4 linked regions of the Caenorhabditis elegans genome follow. The protein of the gene in region 2 interacts with the protein of the main gene of each other region in a pairwise test. Each region holds a gene or a part of one and is shown on either strand. Other genes may lie near its edges.

Region 1 (3,160 bases), 8.4 Mb from region 2:
AGATGATCCTCGATGTTTTTTCCCTGGAAAAAATTGGATTTACGCTAAACAACACGCGTCAACGATGCTCCGTTTTCAAGAGCAAAAATGCTCACTTTAAAGTCCTCGAACCATCCGATATTGTCAGCGATGATGTGATGGTTGTGACAGCCGGAGCACGTGACAATGACAACTCCCTTCTCGTATGATGACTTGGCAAATGTTTTTGGGCCCTTGAAATTATTAGGAATTTCAAATCCAGTTTTCTAGCTTTCTTGGCTCAAACCTCCCGGGAGTTGCACACTTTGCAGGTGTATGACAGGGACAACTGGGGCTCTTGCTTCCCCAGTGGAGTGGCTGAAAGTCTGGGAACTGTCTCGGAGAAGCTTCTCGATGCTCTATAGAGAGCTGAAACTGCTGAGCGGAGCATTCTGAAAAATTCGTGGTCCCCGAAAACGAAACCCAAAGGTTTTAAAAGATATTTAGAAACCCTGAAAAGTTGGATGCCGAACTGAACACACGACTCGGTTGTAGTTGTAACAACAATTTATTTGTAATAATAACAAACAAAAAATTAGGGTTTGGATTTAGAAGAAGAATCCGAGAATCTTTCCTCCCAAATGCTTTCTTCTGGCCTCCTCGTGATCCATGATTCCGGCGGAGGTGGTAAGGATGAGATATCCGAACTGACGGGATGGGAGGAGGGTGTTGGTGTACTTCTCCAAATCGTTTAGACGGATGTTGAGACGTGGGGAGATGACGGAGGCCTTGTTGAGACGTCCGGTGAGGTTGACGACGATCTTTCCGGCGCGGTGGTCGTCGACGATCTCGAACTCTCCGATGTATCCGTGCTTCATCATGACGGTCAAGAAGCGGACGATGACCTGGAAAATTATTGTTGCGATGGGAAGGGACAGGTGGAAAACTAGAAATACGGAAAGTAGATGTTAAGCTGGTTACCTTCAACATTCATATCCCAGGAAGATCTCCAGATTGAGAGAATCTAACCAAGGGTGTCTCCGTTTAATTAGAACCGAAAGTTATGTTTGGAAATAAAACCGAGTTTCTTTCACTAAATTCTAAATTCACGGAGAGCCTTGGTCATTTTTTGCGACCGAGGCTGCCAGCATCATCATCTATTAACAAAAATGCATTGAGAATTCTCGAAGAACGACGCGAATTTACCTTGGAGGCTGGACGGATGAGAACCTGACGCTTTCCGCGCTTCTCGGCGTTGTTGATGGCGTTGAGCGCATCGGCGAGGACGTTCATGCGAACCATGTCTGCTTGTTTTTACCTGAAAATTCGGGAATTCATTTTTACAAAAATTATGAGAACGCGAAGCAAAACAGACACATTTCGATGAATATTTGTAGGTATTTCGCATCAAAACTACTGGAAAATGCTTAAAACCACAAAAAATGGAGAAAATCACCTAAAAATCACGGAAATTCGAGAAAAGTATGTGAAAAACTTCGTTGGCCTACGCCTTTCCACCGCCTATGCATTAACGTTGAATACTCAGCCAAGCAGCCAAATCGTCTTAGTGGAGCGCGATTGCAGTGCACTTTAGGCGGGGTTTCAAACATTGATTTTGGTTTTTTTTTGTTTTAAAAATTCGTTTTTTCGCAATTTCCGGCTTTTTTTCTTTTTTTTTTCAACTTTTCATAGTTTTTGAATATTTTCAGACACATAAAACATGAAAAGAGTGATCAGCCTCATCGATATGGACTGTTTCTACGCACAAGTCGAACAACGGGACAATCCATCGCTTTGGGGACAGCCGGTGATCGTCGTGCAGCACTCCAGGCAGGGTATCGAGGGTGGGTAAGCTGAATTTTAATCTGAAATTCTCCAAAAAAAGCCCGAAATTTCCAGAATTTTGGCTGTAAGCTATGAAGCCCGCCCGTTCGGAGTGAAACGAGGGATGACGGTGGCCGAAGCGAAGTTAAAATGCCCTCAAATATCAATATGTCACGTTCCGATTGGAGAATATGTAGATAAAGCTGATATTCAGAAATATCGGTTGGAATTCTTATATTGAAAAAGTCCCAAAAATTGCTATTTTTTCAGCGACGCTAGCGCAGAAGTCTTCCGGGTGCTGAACAATTACGACTCGCAAATTATAATCGAAAAAGCGTCTGTCGATGAGGCTTTTCTTGATTTATCCGCGTATACTAATCAAAAATTGCAAGAATTGAGAGAAAACGAGGGATTGGAGGAGTTTTTGCAGGTAAATCTAGCTTGAAAAGTTGAAAAATGAGAAAAATCCCCCCTATTTCAGCATCTTTTTGCAGAATTAGCAGTTTTTTCAAGAAAAAAAACGCGAAAAACCTGATTTTCCGCTAAATTCAATTAATAAAATTCAAGAATTTCAAATTACCTCTAAAAAACGTGCCAACCGCGACGCGACCGCTCGCGCCGGGCGGCACTAGGTCCACAGGTTTTTTGCCGTTTGTTAATGAATTTTCAAGCAAAATCCATGATTTTTTCGCTAAAAATTGCCTAATTTTCGCATTTCAGGCTGCTATTACCTACCTCCCAACCACACACCTCGCTACCGGAGAAGATGTGAAAGAAAATGAGCACCTACGAGAAGATGTGCTGCTGGAATATATTGAAAATGCGAGAAATTGCACGGAAAACCTGCTTTTACTGATTGCCGCGGTCACTGTAGAGCAAATTCGGCAACAAATTCACGAGGAAACCCAGTTTTTTTGCTCGGCGGGTATGGATTTTGCCGGAAAATCCAGAAAAATTCATTTTTTGGGGGGAAAAATTCGCCCAAAAATCGCAATTTTCCATTTTCAGGCGTCGGAAACAACAAAATGATGGCGAAATTGGTGTGCGCCCGGCATAAACCACGCCAACAAACGTTAATTCCGTGGTTCTATGTTCGAGAAATTCTCCGGCTTACGCCAATCGGAGATGTTCGAGGATTTGGCGGAAAAATGGGAAATCGCATTCAAGAAATGCTTAATATCACTGTACGGAAGCGAAAATATTCAAAATTCCAAGTTATTTTCAGAATTTTCATCGAAAAATTATCTGAAATGTCTGAAATCTGCAATTTTAGGCGTTTTTATACAATTTTTAAATATTTTTCATTGAACCTAGAAATTTGGAAATACTCAAAAAAAAATCAATTTTTTCTGGCAAAAAAAAAAGAAATTTTGAGATT
Region 2 (4,101 bases):
TCGAGATCATCATCTCCAACCTTCTCTCCACCCTGAAATATGTGAATAACGAGGAAAATTGGAGATATTTGGAGCACAAACCTCGACGAGAGCCTTGCAGACATCACAGAAAACACCGTGATGCTTCTTGAGATTGAGTGGGTTAGCTGGATTGGCTAGAAGTGGAGCAGCGGCGAGCAAGACAAGGAAAAGACACGGAAGAATGCGAGTCATTCTGTAGATTTTAAGATGAAAAACTGGAGAAATGAAGCGAAAATGCACCCGGAGCAGTGATGCTCGTGTCTTTTATCAACTTCGCGGCGGCACTGATAAGGAATCGAATCGTTTCTGATGTTTTCAGCATGGAGGAAAAGATCAAAGGACATTATAGAATACACACCGGGTCGTTCACACATCAGATGCCGATTTTTCGAACTGATAAGATCGCTTAGAGGAGTAGCTTTTCGCCTTGACGGAGAAAATATTGATTAATCAGGTTAGCAGTAAAGTAAATGGTGTGGGCATGTGATTTCTTGATAATTTGAGGAAGATGGAGGCAATCAATTTACTTATTTCAACAATTCTGGGGAAGCTTGAACAAAATCAACAAAGTTAAATAAATACGTAATTAGATAAATATTCACATTTCTTCTTTACAAATAGGCTCTCCGGATTTTTCAACTTTCAAATGCTATCGTCGCTTCTCGTGAGCGCATCCCAGGCGATTTGTCGATATCTGAAAGAGAAAATTGACATTTAAAAATTTAATTAAAAAAAAAAAAACAAACCTCTTGAGCTGCTGAACGGGCTCACTGGACGACGTGACGCCTCTTCCGACGATGATGATGTCGTTCTGCTGTACTTCGATCGCCTCGTCGACACCTCTCCACTGCTGACCGGCCGAGTCGGATTTCGCGTCGAGATTCACACCGGGCGTCCAATTGAGAAGATCCGAGCAAGCAGACACTCTCGTCTGAGTGATGAATCCAGAAATCACGTCACGATTCTCGTTGGCAATCTTGACGGCGGTCTCGGTGTATCCTTCCAGCGCAGTCAAAGATCCTTTGGTGCTGAGCTGCGCGATGAGGAGAACTCCACTGAGCCTGTAAGTCGGATCTTTGGCGAGCTTCCTGAAGACTCCTGCAATGCTGTCACTTCCTTGTACGGCATGAACAGTCACAACATCCGCCCAGTTGGCGATTTTCTGGGCTCCAGTGAGCTGAAGAAGGTTCGTGTTTCCAGTGTCGCCAAACTTCCGATCCTCGAAAATGATAAAGTCCATATCATTTGCCATCGTCGTCAGCTTCCTCGTGAATTCCTCGTTGAAATCGGTGATAGCGTCGGCGTGAAGCTTGATCGCCAGCACAAATGGACCAGCGAGCTCGATCATCTGAAGGCACTGCTCGACGGTAGTGTAGTCGACAGCGAGACACAGATTCGACTTCTTCCGGCGCATGATTCCAAGAATTTTCTTGATGAGTGCAGATTCTGTGAGGGATTCGCGTTCCGCAAGCGGAGTTCGCACGTTTTCCACGTACGGTAGACTGGACAGGTTTTCGAGCTCGCTGTTGATTTCCAGCTTTGTTGGGGAGGTGTACGGAAGGTTGAGAGCCTGAAATAATCAATTATTTTATTTTTAAATAGAAAATCGAGATAATTTGACTAACCTGAACAATTCCGTGCCACTGCTCGTCACCGATCGCTCCAGTTGAGTACAAGAATGTGAGAACTGTTTGCATGTCGAGCAGGCTGTGCAGCGTGACACCCGCGTCCTGGAGCTTCTGACGCCCGCCTTGTTCTCGATCCAGAATGCAAAATACATCCGAGGCGACCAAATTCTCTGTGTGAAGCACTTTTACCACGTCCAGGATGCTTCCACCTGTCGTCACGACGTCTTCGATGAGGATCAGACGATCGTTTGGCTGGTACAATCCCTCGATGAGCTTCTTCGTGCCGTAGGACTTGGCCTCTTTGCGAACGATGAGCAGCGGCTTCTTCAGATAGTTTCCAGCGGCGACTGATGCGTAGGGAAGAGCCGCGTATGGGATTCCAAGAACTCCAGCGTACTGAACCTCGCTAATCTCCACCTGCTTCGATATCGCTTCTGAGATAAGCATCTGGAAATAGTTTTCTTTTAAATAAAAATCATTAAAATAAGCTATTATTTTTTTTTTAAACTTTAAAAAACTCACCAAAAGCCCCGGATGCCCAAAGCATTCGCGAAGATCGATATAAATCGGTGAAATCTGCCCAGACTTGAGCTGAAACTCGCCGAATTTGAAGACGCTCGCTTTGAGCATTTGGCGGAGCAGATTCCGCTTCAGGGCTCCATTTCGGGTTTTGTCGGTGAGCGAGCTCATTTTCTCTGAATAGTACGATTACTTTTTGATGGAAAATAGTAGCGATGAATGTAAAATATAACGATAAGACTGAGGGAGATAATATATACTTGTGCAGAAAGCAGTAGTACGATTTGATAACAAGTTTTGAAGCGGAGAAGAGTAGGAGAAAGAGAACAAAGAGATTGATTGATAAGAAAAAGCTTGGGAAAAGAAATAAAATTGCATTTTGTTCAGATTTCTTAGTTTTACAGCGGGAAAACAGAAAAAGAACGAAAATTGGATTTGAAAAACTATTTTTTGAAGAGAAAACTTGAAGGTTACGGTAGAAGAGAGACAATGCGATGGAGAGAGACGCAGAGAAAGTTGCGTAACATTTGGTGTGCTGTACGCAACACAATGAGAGGGAATTTCAAATTTAGTTTTTCTGCGGGATCTTGTCGATAAATTTAATTAAGTTTTATTTAAATAGGGCTCGAGAAATTTTAAGATTTAAATAATGATTAATCAAAGATATGATGTTATAGTTTCAAATGAATATAAGAAAAACAATTAATAAAAATTTCTCAATGAAAAATAGATGCATTATTTTAAAAATTGTCATATAAACATTATAAACATTATATACCCCTCTAAAATTTTTGACTAGTGACGATCGATATTCCCCAAACGCGAACAGCATATCTGACGCGCAAAATATCTCTTAGCGAAAACTACAGTAATCTTTAAATGACTACTGTAGCGCTTGTGTCGATTTACGGGTTCGATTTTTAAAATTAACTTTAAGAGAAAAGGGAAAATAATACGAAAAAACGAATGAAAATGATATTTCGATGTTACTATTCGAAAAAAAATAACTTCAAAAATTGAGCCCGTAAATCGACACATGCGCTACAGTAGTCATTTTAAGAATTACTGTAGTTTTCGCTACGAGATATTTTGCGCGTAAAATATGCTGCGCAATACGCATTCTCAGGATTTATAGTATTTTAATTCTAAGTTTTCATCAAAAAAAACGTTGTCGGAAAAATTATTTTTTCAAATAATTCAGGCGGGAAATTCAAGCAGTTTAAAATTTCCGAAAAAATTTTGCGGGAGGCTCGAAGTTCTGAATTAAAAAAATCACAGGAACATTTTAAATTTTTAAAATTGTTTTCAGTCAATCTTTACAAAAAACAACATTTCCAACACTTTCCCGTTTCTCCCATAAACTCATTTTCCTGCCCAGCCAAAGTTGTCGTGGTGTGTTCAGTGATGCGTTCACCCAATTATGAGAGCTCTCGAGAGATGACGTTGTTCCTCTTTTCCCCATTCCAGCAACACATTCTAGAGCAATTTAACTAAATTGAGTGTAGCGTGAGTGAGTGCGCGTCCCTTCTAGAAAATAGAAAAAACGAAGCGAAAAAAAGAGAGAGAGAGAAAGGAGTCTCTCGAGAAGCTCATTGTGCATAGTTTTGGAAATTTGAAAATTGCAGAAAAATTCAGCCTCACGATTTTCCCAATATCATGACCCCTGCCTAACTTTGAATTAAAAAAAAAACATTTTTTCTTGAAAACTATTAAAATATATTGTTGAATTTGTTTAATCGCACTACAAATCAGGGGTGGGCGGCAATTGCTCCGGCAAATTTTTTTGTCGACAAATTGCCGGCTTGCCGATTTGCCGAATATCTGATTTGCCGTAAATATTTAGAGGGATTTTTTATAAGACGAAAATACTTAAAACTGTGCCTATTTGAACTTTTCCCGTTTTCTTTAGATATTTTTATATAATTTGCTTACT
Region 3 (7,752 bases), on a different chromosome or scaffold from region 2:
CGATGAATTCCTTGAGGGCGAGATTCGTGAAGAATGTGGAAAATATGGAAATGTCATTGATGTGGTAATCGCGAATTTTGCATCCAGCGGACTTGTCAAGATTTTTGTGAAATACTCGGATTCGATGCAGGTGGATCGGGCAAAAGCGGCACTGGATGGACGATTTTTTGGTGGAAATACTGTCAAAGCGGAGGCATATGATCAGATTTTATTTGATCATGCCGATTATACTGGATAATTAATTTAATTTATTGTTTTTTTTTTTTTGGTTTTTTCCATTTGTATTCTCGAATTCCTCCATGTTTTTAATTCTATGAATCTCATACGTTTCATTTTGTCTTTGGTTTTTGTACAATTTAATATTACTCAGACGCGAAATTTTGCGATTTTCCCCCGGTGTCTGGTCTCGACACGAAACATTTTTTGATAAATGCAAAAATGTGTGCGCCTTAAAAGAGTACTGTAATTTTGAGCTGCCAAATTTTCATAGATTTTTCGATGTTTACATATTTATTCATTTATTTAAAAAAAACTCAAATTTTAACAAATCGAGGAAATAAATTATGAAAAATGCCGAATTTTCGCAATTTTTCAAATTTAGATTTTTTTTTCAATAAATAATTGTATTTTTTGCGAAATTTTCATAGATTTTTCGAAAAAAAACTATATTTATTTATTGAAAAACTTAACAAATCGTGAGAAAAATTCAGAAAAAATTTATTTTTTCAATATATAAATTTCTTTTAATCGAAAAATCGATAAAAGTTCCGTAGCAACAAAAGTTTGAAGTTACAGTACTCTCTAAAGGCGCACACCTATTCACATTTAACAAAAAATTGTCGTGTCAAGACCAGCTACCGTAGTTTTGGCGCCGAAATCGCGGAATTTTGCGTCCGAATGAAAGCAAAAAAAACACACACACACACAAAAACCAGTGAAAACTTTGCAAGTTTGCAAAAAAAAATTAGGGATAAATATGAGAATCAGTGACGAGATGAGGTGAAACGCTGTGATGAGAGACTTTCACAGTTGATCTCATCAAAATACTTGAACAATCGATCGAACGTCGGACGGCGCCGCGGATCCAGGTGGACACAAATTTTGAACGCATCCTCGTACACGTAATCCGGAACCAGTTCAGGACGTGGCAGCACATATCCACGTGACAGATGTTCAAGTGTTCCCTCGTAATCCCATCCTCGATATGGTGTTTTTCCAAGAGTTCCAATCTCCCAGAGAAGAATTCCGTACGACCAGACGTCGGTTTTTGTGCTAAAAAATTGAGAAAATTTTATGAAATTGATTTGCAAGCGCGCTCCAGCGGCGTATTAGGGTCTCGTTAGGTGTTGGCGGGAAAATCATGAATTTAAATGTTTCCTTTTTGCATTTTTTCCACCATTTTCAGACATTTTAGGGTTTTGGAACTTTTTCTGTTGTTCCCGCCAATACCTAACGAGACCCGGGCTACTGTACTTGTTAAATCAATAAAATCAGCATACCATTTCAAAGGGAGATAATGGTGATCATGAGTATGGGTCTTAACGCGAAAATATTTATTGACAAACCATTTCGAAATTGCGCCTTTAAAATAACAACTGACAGATTTTATGATTGTTTTCAAAAAAAGAAAAGCGCGATTTTTGCGCTAGAAATACGGTACCAGGTCTCGACACGACAAACTTTTGCTAATTGCAAAAAGGTGCGCGCCTTTAAAGATTACTGTAGTTTCAAACTTTTGTTGCTGCGGAGTTTTCAAATTTGCATCGATTTTACATAGTTTTTCTCACGATTTGTTGAAATCTGAGCTTTTTTTCAAAATATCATAAAATAAAGAAATGTTCATCGAAAACTATTTAAAAAAATGATAAAAATTTTGCAACGACGAAAGTTTGAAATTGCAGTAATCTTTAAAGGCGCACAGTTGTTTACTATTCACAAGAAATTTGCCGTGTCAAGACCAGTCACCGGATTTTTCGGCGCAAGAATATCTCATCTGGATAATACTACATGTTTAAGGAAAGAAAATTACGTTGTTGGGTCCTAAAACGAGCGAAACTTTTCGGCTACCGTAACCGAGGGTACGGTAAATTTCAACTGCAACTTGCTCTCGATATTTGACATTTAATTTGAACAATTCTTTAAAAAAAATGAAGAAATCGAAAGAAAACCCGCTGAGGTACGGTAGGTGAAAAGTTTGGTTCGTGTCAGGACCCAATTTGGCGACGAATTTCGGCGCGGATAGGTAATATAAATTTAAAAAATATTTCTCGCAAATACAGCATCGAAAATATCCTATTTTTAAATATAATTTTCAAATGGGAACCATTTTCGAGAAAAACTTGCAAAAACCAGGGACCGTGGCAGTACATCACATTTTACGCGCAAATTTTCAATAATAATTAGACAACTTACTTGAAAATCTGTTCATCAAAACACTCAGGCGCCATCCATTTCCACGGCAACATATTATCAGTTTTCATCACATAATTCTCATCTCCAACGTCTGTTTTTCGTGCCAAACCAAAATCCGCAACTTTCACAAGAGGCACTCCATTTGACGAAACTGTTCCAACAAGAACATTTCTTGCGGCCAAATCTCGATGAACAATCTTATTTGCCGATAGGTAATCCATACCGGAAGCCACCTGAAATTATACACAAATTTGCGCGTCAAATATGATGTTTTCCATACCTGCGCAGAGATACTCGCTCCAATCAAAACATTCTTTCTTCCGGTCTCTTCACTCATCAGGGGAATTGGTGGAAGAGTTTTTGTGAGCTTTTGTAGCCACGCTAATAAGGATCCGTTGGTCATAAATTCGGTGATAATTAGGTATGGTTTGTCGGTGTCACAGACTGCGAGTAGATGGATGACATTTTGATGAGAAAGTTTTGTCAGCGTTTTTGCTTCTCTGGAATTTTAGATTTCTGCGTCAAATATGGTGTATTATGGAGACGTGAAAAATTAGTCTTTTAAAGTTGATGTGCACGCTCCAACGCCAAATAAGGGTCTTGTTAGATATTGGCGGTAAAAAATTCAAACGCTTTAAATTATTATTTCGCAAATTTCATTCTTGTTTTTTTAAATTGATATTTTATATCAAAATTAGAGAAAACGTTTTTTCGACATAAAAATCATGAAAACAGTGGAAAAACATTAAAAAAAAACTACAAAAAATCTTTAATTGGAGCGCGATTGCACTTCATTTTCAAAAGTCGAATTTTTCGTATCCTTATAATATTCCAACTCACTCTAAAAACTGCGTATTTGCCAATTGTTCAGAGTGATCTGGTTTCAACGACTTCACAGCAACATCCACTCCCTTCCACTTCGCAAGGTACACCTAGAAATTATTTCAAACTTGCGCGTCAATCATGGTGTATCGAGAACTCACTTCTCCGAATTGTCCTCTTCCAATTTCTTTGACTCTTCTCACTTCACTTCTGTTGACATGAATCTTCTTCATTGCCATGTACTCGGTTTGCTCGGGCAGTGGTGGAGCAGCTTTTGTGAGCTTTGTGCAGATTTGAATTTCTCCAGGTACTTTTTCGCCTGGAAATTTGAATTGCAGTTCACTGATTTAAAAACAAAGTTTGATTGCCAGCAATTTTGCAAATAAATCTTGAAAATTTTGACTGCTTTCACTGATCTCTTAATGTATTAAAAATGCCGAAAACTTAAAAAACGTCAAATAAAGGGGTGTGGCCAGAAAACTTACAACTATAATGGTTTACCAATTGATGAAGTGATCCGAAATGAATAACCGCCGGTCTATGATTATCTCTAATTTCAAAGCCTTCTTGATTCGGTCGTCGGTAGATGATATAAGCTTGTGGTGACTCGTTATCTGAAAATTAATATTTCATCTGGCCGGGGACTTGCTGCGTGGCCGTGAAAATGGAAAACTCGGCCATGACCGAATGTTCTCTTCTGCGGCCCCCAACGACTCACGAGAACTTCTGACAACTAGCACAAATGTGTCGGTTTTCGAATTTTCCCGAATCAAAAAAGATCCGATTGGTAGTTGCGGTTGCATGACCCTCTGTTCTGCCAGAATTGATGATATATTTCCAGCGAACCATGGCTCTCGGTATTCGGCATAGACCACATGGGATTTTGGGACAAAACCTTTGAATTGTCGGGACTTACTTGCCACGTACCACCATTCTCTGGAAAAAAAATTTGGGTGAAAGTGAGGGATGGCCTAGAAAAATCGGTAAATCTCGGCCAGAGAGAGAGAGAGAGGTTTTTTGTGTGAAATTTTGAAAATTGCGCGTAGGATATGATGCATAGCGGTCGAACCGAACTGTTTTTTTTTAATTTTGAAAAAGTTGCGTTTGGTGTATTGAAGTCGACGAAACACATCGTATTTTACGCGCAATTTTTTTTTAATTTAAAAACTTGCGCGTAAGATATGGTGTATAACAGTTTTCATTTGAAATTCAAAAAACCTACCGGTTGCTCTGCTCAATAAGATAGAGTACATCTCCCTCCTCGACACTCATTTCTTTCGGAGTCTGTGCCAAGAAGCGGTTCTCCACAATGAGCATTTTCTCTTCAGGTTCTGAAAAAATTGTAATTGCGCGTCAAACATGGTGCATCATATAAGTTTACCTGAATGTGAGCACTTTGCTGAGCCATGATGTGAATGTGTTTTTGAAACTGGTCGAGGAGAAAATGAAGCTCCATTTGGAACACTTTTTGTAGAAGTTGCTGATGGATGCCGCGAAATGTTACCTGAAAATTAGTATTTTATTTTTATCTAGCTTTACGCCTACGTTGTGCCTACACGCCTTTTCAGGCCTAGGTAGGCAGGCGCACAGGCCTGAAGACGTATATACCTACCAAGGTAATATAATAGGTGGATGCACTCAGGCTGCCTCGAAGGCAGATAGGCAGGCATTTTTCATTAACTGTAACTTACCGGAATGATGTGGAATTGGCGGAGGTACCAAATTGGATTCTGATCTTCTTGGCGGAATCGGAGGACGAGGATCCGTACTGGAAACTGATTGTGTAGACGGACGAAGTGGTGGAGGTTTGGCTGGTACAGCGACTGATGGTGTGGATTCTGGCATCACAGGTCGTACTGAAAAAGTGTATAATATATTTAAAAATCATTTATATCTTGAACCTTCTTGAATGACGCGCCTGCCTTATGCCTACCTCCCTACCGCATCTTCAGAACCAATCGAAAAATCACAATTAGGCATATTCCTGATAAGAAATTTTTTGAGAAAAAGCAGAAACTACACGGGAATGTGATCAGTGCCAGTACAACGCGAAGAACTAGAAATGACGTGTCCGAGCAAATAAAAAATTCGTTTTCCGTTATGATAGAATGATCAAAAAGGTTAACGAGAACTGGAGAAAATGAATTTTTGAGCAATTTATTATTGAACATTTTTCTTAAATTTTTATATTATTAAAGTACTGTTTTACTGAAAAATCATTATGGAGTGAAAAGAGAAATTTACAAAATCAAAAAATATTAGCCTCGGCTACGGTAGTTGAAAAGTTTTGTTCGTGCCAGGACCCGAGGCAAATAAAAATAATTGGTGAGGAAAAATTGTTCAATAACTTTATGTGTATTTTTCTTTATTAAGAATAAAAAGCTGTTTCAAGAATTGCTAAAACGGTAAAATTTTTCAAAACATATTGAACCAACATACCATTTTGAAAAATTACCAAAAATAAAAGGAGTTTTCCAACTAATTGAATCGATTATATAGGAGTTAATAATAAAAATCAATAAAATTATAAACTCACATGCAAGTTCCTGGCTTGAAAACGAACCATCATCCAACAACACAGCCGATCGATATTCCCTATTATTATTTCGTTCATCTTTTTTATTCTTCTTTTCGTGATGTGAATGCTTGTGACCCATATCGATCAATCGAGAAGAAACTGACTGACTTTCCCAAAAAAAAAGAGAGAGAGAGAGAGAGCACACTCTGAAACTCCTCTCTCTCTTTCCATTTACACACACACACACTGTTTTCTGACCATATTTAACATAGGAAGAAGGCAGATAAGCTTCAGCGTGTGTGGCTGGTGCATGTTGACCGTCATTTAATTTTAGAGTTACTCATCACTTCGGATGATTATTCTATGCGATGACGTAGGAGATTGCGTGCTTTTGGCAGACTTTTGAAATCGTATGACTATTTGAAACAGTATTATTTCTTTAAATTGAAATACAAAAATTTTGTTCTGCTTATTTTACAAATATTATGAAAATTGGATTTTAAAATTGCTTTATTTTTTTGAAAACTAGAATTGGACTGAAATTTTTTTTAAATCAGAGTTTTCATAACTTGAAAAATTAACAATTTCAGTGAATTAACCACGAAAACTGCGTTTGGAACGTGCTAGATTATCTGAAAAATCGGAAATATTTCTAAGAAATTCAGTACGAAAATTTTAAAAGTCTGGATAAAATTATTTTTTCTTTAAAAAAAAACGATACGGACCGGTTTTTTAAAAGTTCCACCAAAAGTTGGTTATCTACTATGCTGGCTCAAATAATTAACTGGACAATACACTTAGCTCGATGTTGAGGTTACAACCATAAGTACCCTTTTCCAACCCATGTATATTTTCACAGTTGAAATTTTTTATAATTCAGAAAGTTAATCCCCTTTAAAATTGGGACATAGACAACGAAAAGAGTCTCGGTATCGAATTCAAAAACTTAAAACAAAACTGGTTCCTTCATTACACCCAATCGTTTCATCACTTACACTTTCAGCGAACAAACATTCGGTTTTGCAGCAGAAGCTTCTAATGATTTACCTAAATGATCGGCTCGATTTTATTTGAATACAGTGCAAAAATGGGAAAAGATAATCACAAGGGGATTGAGCCCTTTGTCAGAAAAATTCAAAAAATAAAAACAGCGAGAAAGATGTTTCATTAACATACGAAAAGCAATGTGATGTTCATTTTGGCGATATTTTGTTCCCAAATTCTGAAACCAAAAAAGTTATGCATAATAAATTTATCAATGCTAATTCCTGTTGAAAGATCATTGTGGCGTTTGCTAGTACTTGCTAGTACAGTATTTATCAAAAAGTAATAATTTGGTAAATGTAAGGTGAAGCAAACAGGCATGCATTCCTGGCATTTTTACAAATATCAATAACTTGATAAAAATTAACTGCGAGGGCACAGTTGGAACGGAAAATATGTCAATGCCTGGAACGGAACTGAAACAAAAACTTCAAATATTACTAGATTTCTAAAAGTGCACTGGAACTAGGGTGTCACATGTGGCAACTTATAACTTCCAATCATGTTCCACAATGCCTACCTCGCTCTGCCTACACGCCTGCCCTCAACCTATCAATTCTTATATGTATAGAAGCCAACAAATTGGGCACTCCAAAATGCACGAAAACTACCAAGAATCAAGATAAGTTTAAATTTAAATTTATCAGAGTAGATCTACCTGCCAAACGCGCCTAACTGCCTGCATGCCTACATACCTGCCTGCAAAAAAAAACTATACGCCTAATTTTGCTGCCGAAAGGATACAACTGTAATAACATGAGCAGTTTTGGAGCACTGTAAAATACAAAATACATACCTATCAGAAATAGGCAGGCACAAAATCCTGGCTGCCTATCATCACAAAATTGAAAAGGTGGGATATCGTTTAATCAGATTTTTAGATTAAGAACAAATTTCAGTAAGATTTTCCTAATATTTTCCCTAGTATTACTAATCAAATTGTATTAATTTAACTT
Region 4 (6,189 bases), on a different chromosome or scaffold from region 2:
AAAACAAAATGGTTTCTGTTGAAGTGAAGAACGACTTCGAAGAGAAATTCCGACTTCTCTGTGAGCTGAAATCTGTTGAGGTTTGTGTTTTTTATATTTTTAGCACAAAAATGAATTAGTGGACATAAGGGAGAATAGATGTCATATTTCAGAAAGAAACATTTGAAAAACAAGAAGAAAAGAAAGGTGACGAATATGAGAAGGAGTTGAACAAATTCTTCCGACAGCGGACTGAAAAATTAGAAATCGAGCAGAAACTGAAAGATCCAAAACTTGACAAAGCCACTAGTGACGAATTGAAAAAACAATGGCAGGAGCGAATAAATCGCATCAAGAAGTATATTGAGGCATCAGATGACAAATTGAAAGGATATGATAATCACACCCAGAAGATTGTTAAGAAGATTCATACAAATCGAATGACCGATTAAATTATTTGGACAAAATATTAAAATGTATGTAAAACCATTCAAAATTGTATTAATTAGTTGTATTCATTTCATTTGGAAAATAAAAATGCATAGTTTATTTTTGTCATTTTAAAGAAAGTAAATATTAATTTCAAATTCAATATGGAAATTATACAATCATTGAAGCATGCATTTCAGAATGAAAACAAGCTTTTAGATAAATTATCATAGAATACCAATTAATTTCATGTTCTGATGAAGGAATAATATTTTCTGATTAGTTTGATCTTCACAGCCAATTTGATGCTCGAAAAGTAGATTCTTAGCGGAAGTAAGATTTTCAGTATTCAACAAAGCACCCGGTAGGCATAATACAATTGAAGAGAGTTGGAATAAAAGAGGATATCTAGTTCGATTTTCTGCTTTTTGCCAAAACACTATAGGCTCCTCAAATGCAATGTTTGGCTCCGAAATCCATCGTTCTAGCTCCTGAATAATATCAATTAATGTTCGAAAATATTCACTGAAAGAAACATACTGTCTTAGCCATTGCTTGTGGGCTCACGATCTCTCCCTCTTTACAAGAATTCTGATAATTTTCTCCGTGTAATTTTTTGAACAACTCTGCGAATAGATCATAATTGCTTTGAACATCAGTTTTACAATGCTGGTTGTGAGTAATTGCAACATCTTTTACGTCTTCTGCATTCCTTATATTTTGTGCAATTTTTTCAAGTTTCTTCTGCACAATTTCCTTTGCTGTCGCAGGCAGTAATAATAACTGCAAAATAATTTTTTATAAACAACAAAATGTGCAGTTTTTAGTTTCAACATTACTTTTAAAAAGTAGATACTTTTAAAACTGTATTTTGAAACTCTCTAAAAAAAAGTTTTGGTATATTGGCAAATTTCGTGTCTGGTGATTAAATTAAAATTAAATAATTACATGTTTTTACTGTTTGAAGCCACTTCTATCTACAGTGCGTCCAACTTCTATAGCACCCCCCTCCAATTCGGCCGTTTGGAGCTTTTCAAAATATTTTTTGGAAAAGTGTTAGTGCAGTTCGATAGCAAATGTTGAAAAACCTTTGCTCCCCAATTTTTATCATGATATCTCAAAAATCACGGAAATTAGGTCAAAATATCTGAAAAATGGCCGTCCAACTTCTATAGCACCCCCTCTGATTTTTGACAAATTTCTGTAAATTCGGGGTTTTCTTCGTAGTTAATGAATTTATTTTGTAAATCACACCAAAATAATCAGGTGGTTTCACTTTCACATTTAAAAAATAAATATAACCCTTGGAAACACGTGGAATGCCTGGGATTGTCCTGGAACATACTTATTTGCTTCAGAGGCCATATCTCGGCTCCCAATGATTTTCGCAGCACCAAAATTGATCAAAATGTTCTTCTCCGTCTATTCATTACTATGTAATTAGTTGTAGAAAGCATTTATTCATATGAACCAAATGGTAAAGGGAGCAACTTCAGTGGTTTTTAAAAGGTTCGTTTTAACCATGAAAACAAGCGTTCGGAGGCGCAGAGATAATGGTTGGGTATACATTTTTGACTAAAAATTACTACATTATAGGTAAAATTAAAAATTATTTTACATGAACAACAAATCCGTGGAAATCCATGGGTAAATCAGATGCCAGACATCTACAATCGCAGGTTCAATGTTTTGTCTGGTAGCTTTTGCATTACTTGACCAAAAAAAGATTCAATGAGCAAATTCGCTAAATTTAACTTGAGTTATAAATACAACTAGCAAAATCGTCATTCGGAAAGGTATATCTTACTTTTCTGTCTAAAATTTTCGCATGTTAGCTTGAAAAAAAGACTTGCGGCCTCGCTTTGCCTTTGTCCTCTTTTTTGAGCGGTCTCGTGAACTCGTCCAAATAAAATTTCAAAGACTTCTAATCAAAATCGAAGCTTCAAAGATATTTAAATCATATGAGCTGAAATTCTGTACCATACAAAGTCAAAACCTTCAGCTCTGCGCCTGCGAACGCTCGTTTTCATGGTTAAAACGAACCTTTTAAAAACCACTGAAGTTGCTCCCTTTACCATTTGGTTCATATGAATAAATGCTTTCTACAACTAATTACATAGTAATGAATAGACGGAGAAGAACATTTTGATCAATTTTGGTGCTGCGAAAATCATTGGGAGCCGAGATATGGCCTCTGAAGCAAATAAGTATGTTCCAGGACAATCCCAGGCATTCCACGTGTTTTCAAGGGTTATATTTATTTTTTAAATGTGAAAGTGAAACCACCTGATTATTTTGGTGTGATTTACAAAATAAATTCATTAACTACGAAGAAAACCCCCGAATTTACAGAAATTTGTCAAAAATCAGATGGGGTGCTATAGAAGTTGGACGGCCATTTTTCAGATATTTTGACCTAATTTCCGTGATTTTTGAGATATCATGATAAAAATTGGGGAGCATAGGTTTTTCAACATTTGCTATCGAACTGCACTAACACTTTTCCAAAAAAAATATTTTGAAAAGCTCCAAACGGCCGAATTGGAGGGGGGTGCTATAGAAGTTGGACGCACTGTATTAAAATTTTTTGAAATTTTGGCAAGGACCTCAACCTGCATGTTAAATAGTTTTAAACAAAACTAACCTTTACTCTTGGATCGATAACAGTTGCAAACAAAAGTGTCGGAATTTGGAGATATCTTTTCAATTCTTCTTCAAGTGTCAATTTGATAGCCTTGCACATATCATATGAGTGTTCTGCCGAGTACTTTGAAATCAATGCAGAAATTAAGGAAATTATTGCAGAAATCCGGAATGTGTGTTGCTGTAACATCAATTTGAAAGGATATATTTTAATCATAAACTAACTTTTCCAAAATCGACGGCAGTTTTCAAGGGAGACAGTGTTCTCAGGATAATCTCCATAAGATCGTAATCTTGTTGATAGAGCATCAGGCCTTCCATGTCATTCATCAAAAATGTATCGAGTAGTCCTTTCAACTTAGTGAACTGCTCAAACATACTAACGACAGTAATCCAATTCAACTTGCCGGATTTGACAAGATCAGCTGAATCGATGGTCATATATTCTCCAATTAAACTCGTTTCATATACTGCCGATTCGTTGATTTTTTGAACGATTTTCTTGCATTTTTCAATAAGTTCAGTTCCTCCTGGAATTGTGTTAATTCCTGAAATAGAGGCAAGTGAGAGACTATTCCATGTACAATCGTATATATCAAATTCTAGCAATTGAGCAGAAAGCTTCAAGTTTGAGACTCCATCTTTAATCATTGCCACAACTTTGTTTCCGATTGAATAATAATCCGTAATGGATTTGATTGCATTTTCAATCTCCAATTCAGGATCTTCATGAGGATCAGAAATATGTATAGCATCCAGAAACCTTGTAACAATTGATCCATCAGAATTCATAAAATGACAGCTGATTCCAACAACTTGTTCATTTTTTCTATCGTCTTTGTTCCATGAATAGCATCCTAGTCCAACATATTCCACATTTCGGAGTTCTTCTCTCAGACGTTGCTCGTATTTGAAATGAAGACTATGTACCATTACGTTCATTTGATTTTTTCCTTTTGGCACAAATGTAGGACACACTTCATTCAGAAAGTGTTGTATTCCAGGACGTTCTAATGTTGAGAGTGGCATTGCATCAAGACATATCATATTTATCAGTGCATCATTGATTCGTTTTTCCTCAAAATCTTCTGCTGTCCAGTTGATAAAATCTCCTTCAGTTCCAGATTTATTCTCTGGAATTCGCCATTCCTCGCCTAACTTTCGCTTTTTCAATGGCTGAACTTCAAGACTTCCACCAATTTCAAGAAGTGTATCCGGATGATTTGCTCTTAAGTGATACAATATTCCACTTGTACCTTGAAATCGTAGAGTTAATAATCGAAGATATAAAATGACTCACTTGATTTCTTTTGTTTCTTTATTGGATGTCCACAAACAGTTTTGTTATCACCGGAACCAATCAAAATCTTGCACAATCGAGTTCCATCAACGAGTGGTGTAAAATAATCGTCATATTTTAAGTTCACCATTATTTTGATCTGAAAAATTGTGTGTCTTAAGGATAAATTGAAATGCGTGGTCGTCATAACATATGGTTAGACCAAAAACGCTCCAGAACATGCCATTTTGACGTGGGAGCTCTGAAAATGCACAAACTAACAGCAAATAACATGAGAAACTCGAAAAATTTACTTTCGAGCTGATCCGAACACAAAATATGTCTTAACGATAAATGGAAATGCCCCAATTTTTTGCCTCGATCATTCAAAAATTTCCTGTCAAATATTTTAAACTTATAGAATTCTTGCATCATATCTCTACAATAATTGAATACATATAAGTAAAAAAATTGAAATTATTTTAAAAACATCTAGTCGACTTGCAAAATAGTAAATACCTTCAGGCAGTGGATAAAACATTTCAAAAAGTTCCTGAGAAGTTTCATTACTATATTTGGGTCCTGAAATTAATTTCGAACACTTTGGCGCTACTCTACATTTAATAATTGGAAGTAATTTCGAAAATGGACATTTTTTTCAAAATCATTTACGAATAAAGCAAAACAATTTTGACGACATCGGTTTTTCAACATGCCCAAAATTGTTGAGACAAAAAATTCGATTCTACAAAAAATCATTTCTATCTATTCCGTCAAACACATAATAAGCTGAGAAAAAATTAGATAACTTTAACTAAAAATGCCGTCAATTAAAAAAAAAATTTGAAAACATTTACATCGTAAAAATGAAGACGTTTAAAAAGACATTAGCGATAGAAACTAAAACTAGTACGATAATATCTGTTTAATCGTAAATTCAAAGGCAAGTGGTGTGAAGTCTTGAACTATTTTGAAAGTTTACGGGCACAAATTTTATCATTTTAATTTTACAACTAAAATAAACCTTGCAATGCATTTTTATTACAAAATCTATTATACGTATTACGAGTTAGGTTTTACGATAAACTTACAAAAAATCGAGCAAAAAACCAATAAATTTCTGGTCGATGAAATGTCGTGTAAAGGCGAGTCGTAAAATGCAGTGCCTTTGTTTCTCTTTTTCTCTTCTCTCTCGTTCTGACGAGGCATTGGTCTTCTCCAGCCGTCCTCTTTTTTTCTCTTTTTCCGACTCGTTATTTGTTGACATCTCTCGTGTGCGTCTGTGTGTATGTGTCTGAGTGTGTCGAAAAAATACGCGTTTCTCTTTCTGTTTTCAATGCAAAACGGCAAGACGGAAAATACGTTTTTTTTGGGTTTCTGAACTAAATGTTGGGGGGAAAGTAACCAGAAAATCATTTATTCGGATAGATTTTAAATTTCAGTATATCTAGTAAAATTGGAAAGAAGAAGAAAACTATTTTTTGCAACTTTTGCTGAACGGAAAAAAAACCAACTGAGGAAAATTTTTTTGCGAAAAATAACAGTACCTGCATGGTCTCGTACCTTTAATGAGTACTATATATACTGATCTCCGTTTTACATCTGAAATGCATCAGTAAGAGAACAAAAAACCAGAGTGCGTAAAATGTTTAACTTTATTTGGTTTGAGAGCATTTCATATTGGAGGAACATTAGGGATGAAATTGAAAGTTAAGGTGTTTTTAAATAGATTTTTTCTCATCCATAATAATCTATAGTATTTTAAGCCACAGAGAAATGTATCATGGAAAGAAAATTGCTTCCTTCAAAATGCATATGCTGGCCTTAAGTTTTGGACATTAAGTAAATTCATTGTAGAC

The links.
Region 1: the proteins of umps-1 (region 2) and rps-15A interact in a two-hybrid assay, tested with the Caenorhabditis elegans proteins (one large-scale study listed by BioGRID).
Region 3: the proteins of umps-1 (region 2) and Y47G6A.5 interact in a two-hybrid assay, tested with the Caenorhabditis elegans proteins (one large-scale study listed by BioGRID).
Region 4: the proteins of umps-1 (region 2) and C53D6.6 interact in a two-hybrid assay, tested with the Caenorhabditis elegans proteins (one large-scale study listed by BioGRID).

The regions. Positions count from the first base shown.
Region 1 is NC_003281.10:1,948,776-1,951,935, reverse strand, and holds rps-15A (Ribosomal Protein, Small subunit), read right to left. Parts: upstream 1,277-3,160; 5' UTR 1,261-1,276; coding exon 1,165-1,260; intron 1,116-1,164; exon of another isoform or gene 949-1,115; coding exon of another isoform or gene 940-948; intron 864-939; coding exon 567-863; 3' UTR 512-566; downstream 1-511. Other genes in the region: F53A3.7 (DNL-type domain-containing protein), read right to left, coding at 1-23, 96-212, 266-409; polh-1 (DNA polymerase eta), read left to right, coding at 1,679-1,806, 1,858-2,004, 2,053-2,212, 2,503-2,707, 2,791-2,966.
Region 2 is NC_003281.10:10,355,305-10,359,405, forward strand, and holds umps-1 (Orotidine 5'-phosphate decarboxylase), read right to left. Parts: upstream 2,345-4,101; 5' UTR 2,340-2,344; coding exon 2,172-2,339; intron 2,097-2,171; coding exon 1,647-2,096; intron 1,592-1,646; coding exon 768-1,591; intron 716-767; coding exon 664-715; 3' UTR 533-663; downstream 1-532. Other genes in the region: spp-1 (Saposin B-type domain-containing protein), read right to left, coding at 1-32, 82-213. UniProt on the Caenorhabditis elegans protein: Bifunctional enzyme which catalyzes the formation of UMP from orotate in the de novo pathway of pyrimidine biosynthesis. May also form UMP from uracil. Regulates the size of gut granules during embryonic development.
Region 3 is NC_003279.8:3,532,133-3,539,884, reverse strand, and holds Y47G6A.5 (Tyrosine-protein kinase), read right to left. Parts: upstream 6,001-7,752; 5' UTR 5,892-6,000; coding exon 5,771-5,891; intron 5,185-5,770; exon of another isoform or gene 5,136-5,184; intron 5,091-5,135; coding exon 4,926-5,090; intron 4,739-4,925; coding exon 4,616-4,738; intron 4,566-4,615; coding exon 4,457-4,565; intron 4,171-4,456; coding exon 3,953-4,170; intron 3,849-3,952; coding exon 3,720-3,848; intron 3,554-3,719; coding exon 3,396-3,553; intron 3,345-3,395; coding exon 3,253-3,344; intron 2,913-3,252; coding exon 2,693-2,912; intron 2,646-2,692; coding exon 2,413-2,645; intron 1,273-2,412; coding exon 984-1,272; 3' UTR 305-983; downstream 1-304. Other genes in the region: Poly(U)-binding-splicing factor rnp-6, read left to right, coding at 1-238.
Region 4 is NC_003282.8:9,027,166-9,033,354, forward strand, and holds C53D6.6 (HAT C-terminal dimerization domain-containing protein), read right to left. Parts: upstream 4,491-6,189; 5' UTR 4,482-4,490; coding exon 4,352-4,481; intron 4,308-4,351; coding exon 3,277-4,307; intron 3,233-3,276; coding exon 3,053-3,232; intron 1,192-3,052; coding exon 949-1,191; intron 900-948; coding exon 636-899; 3' UTR 515-635; downstream 1-514.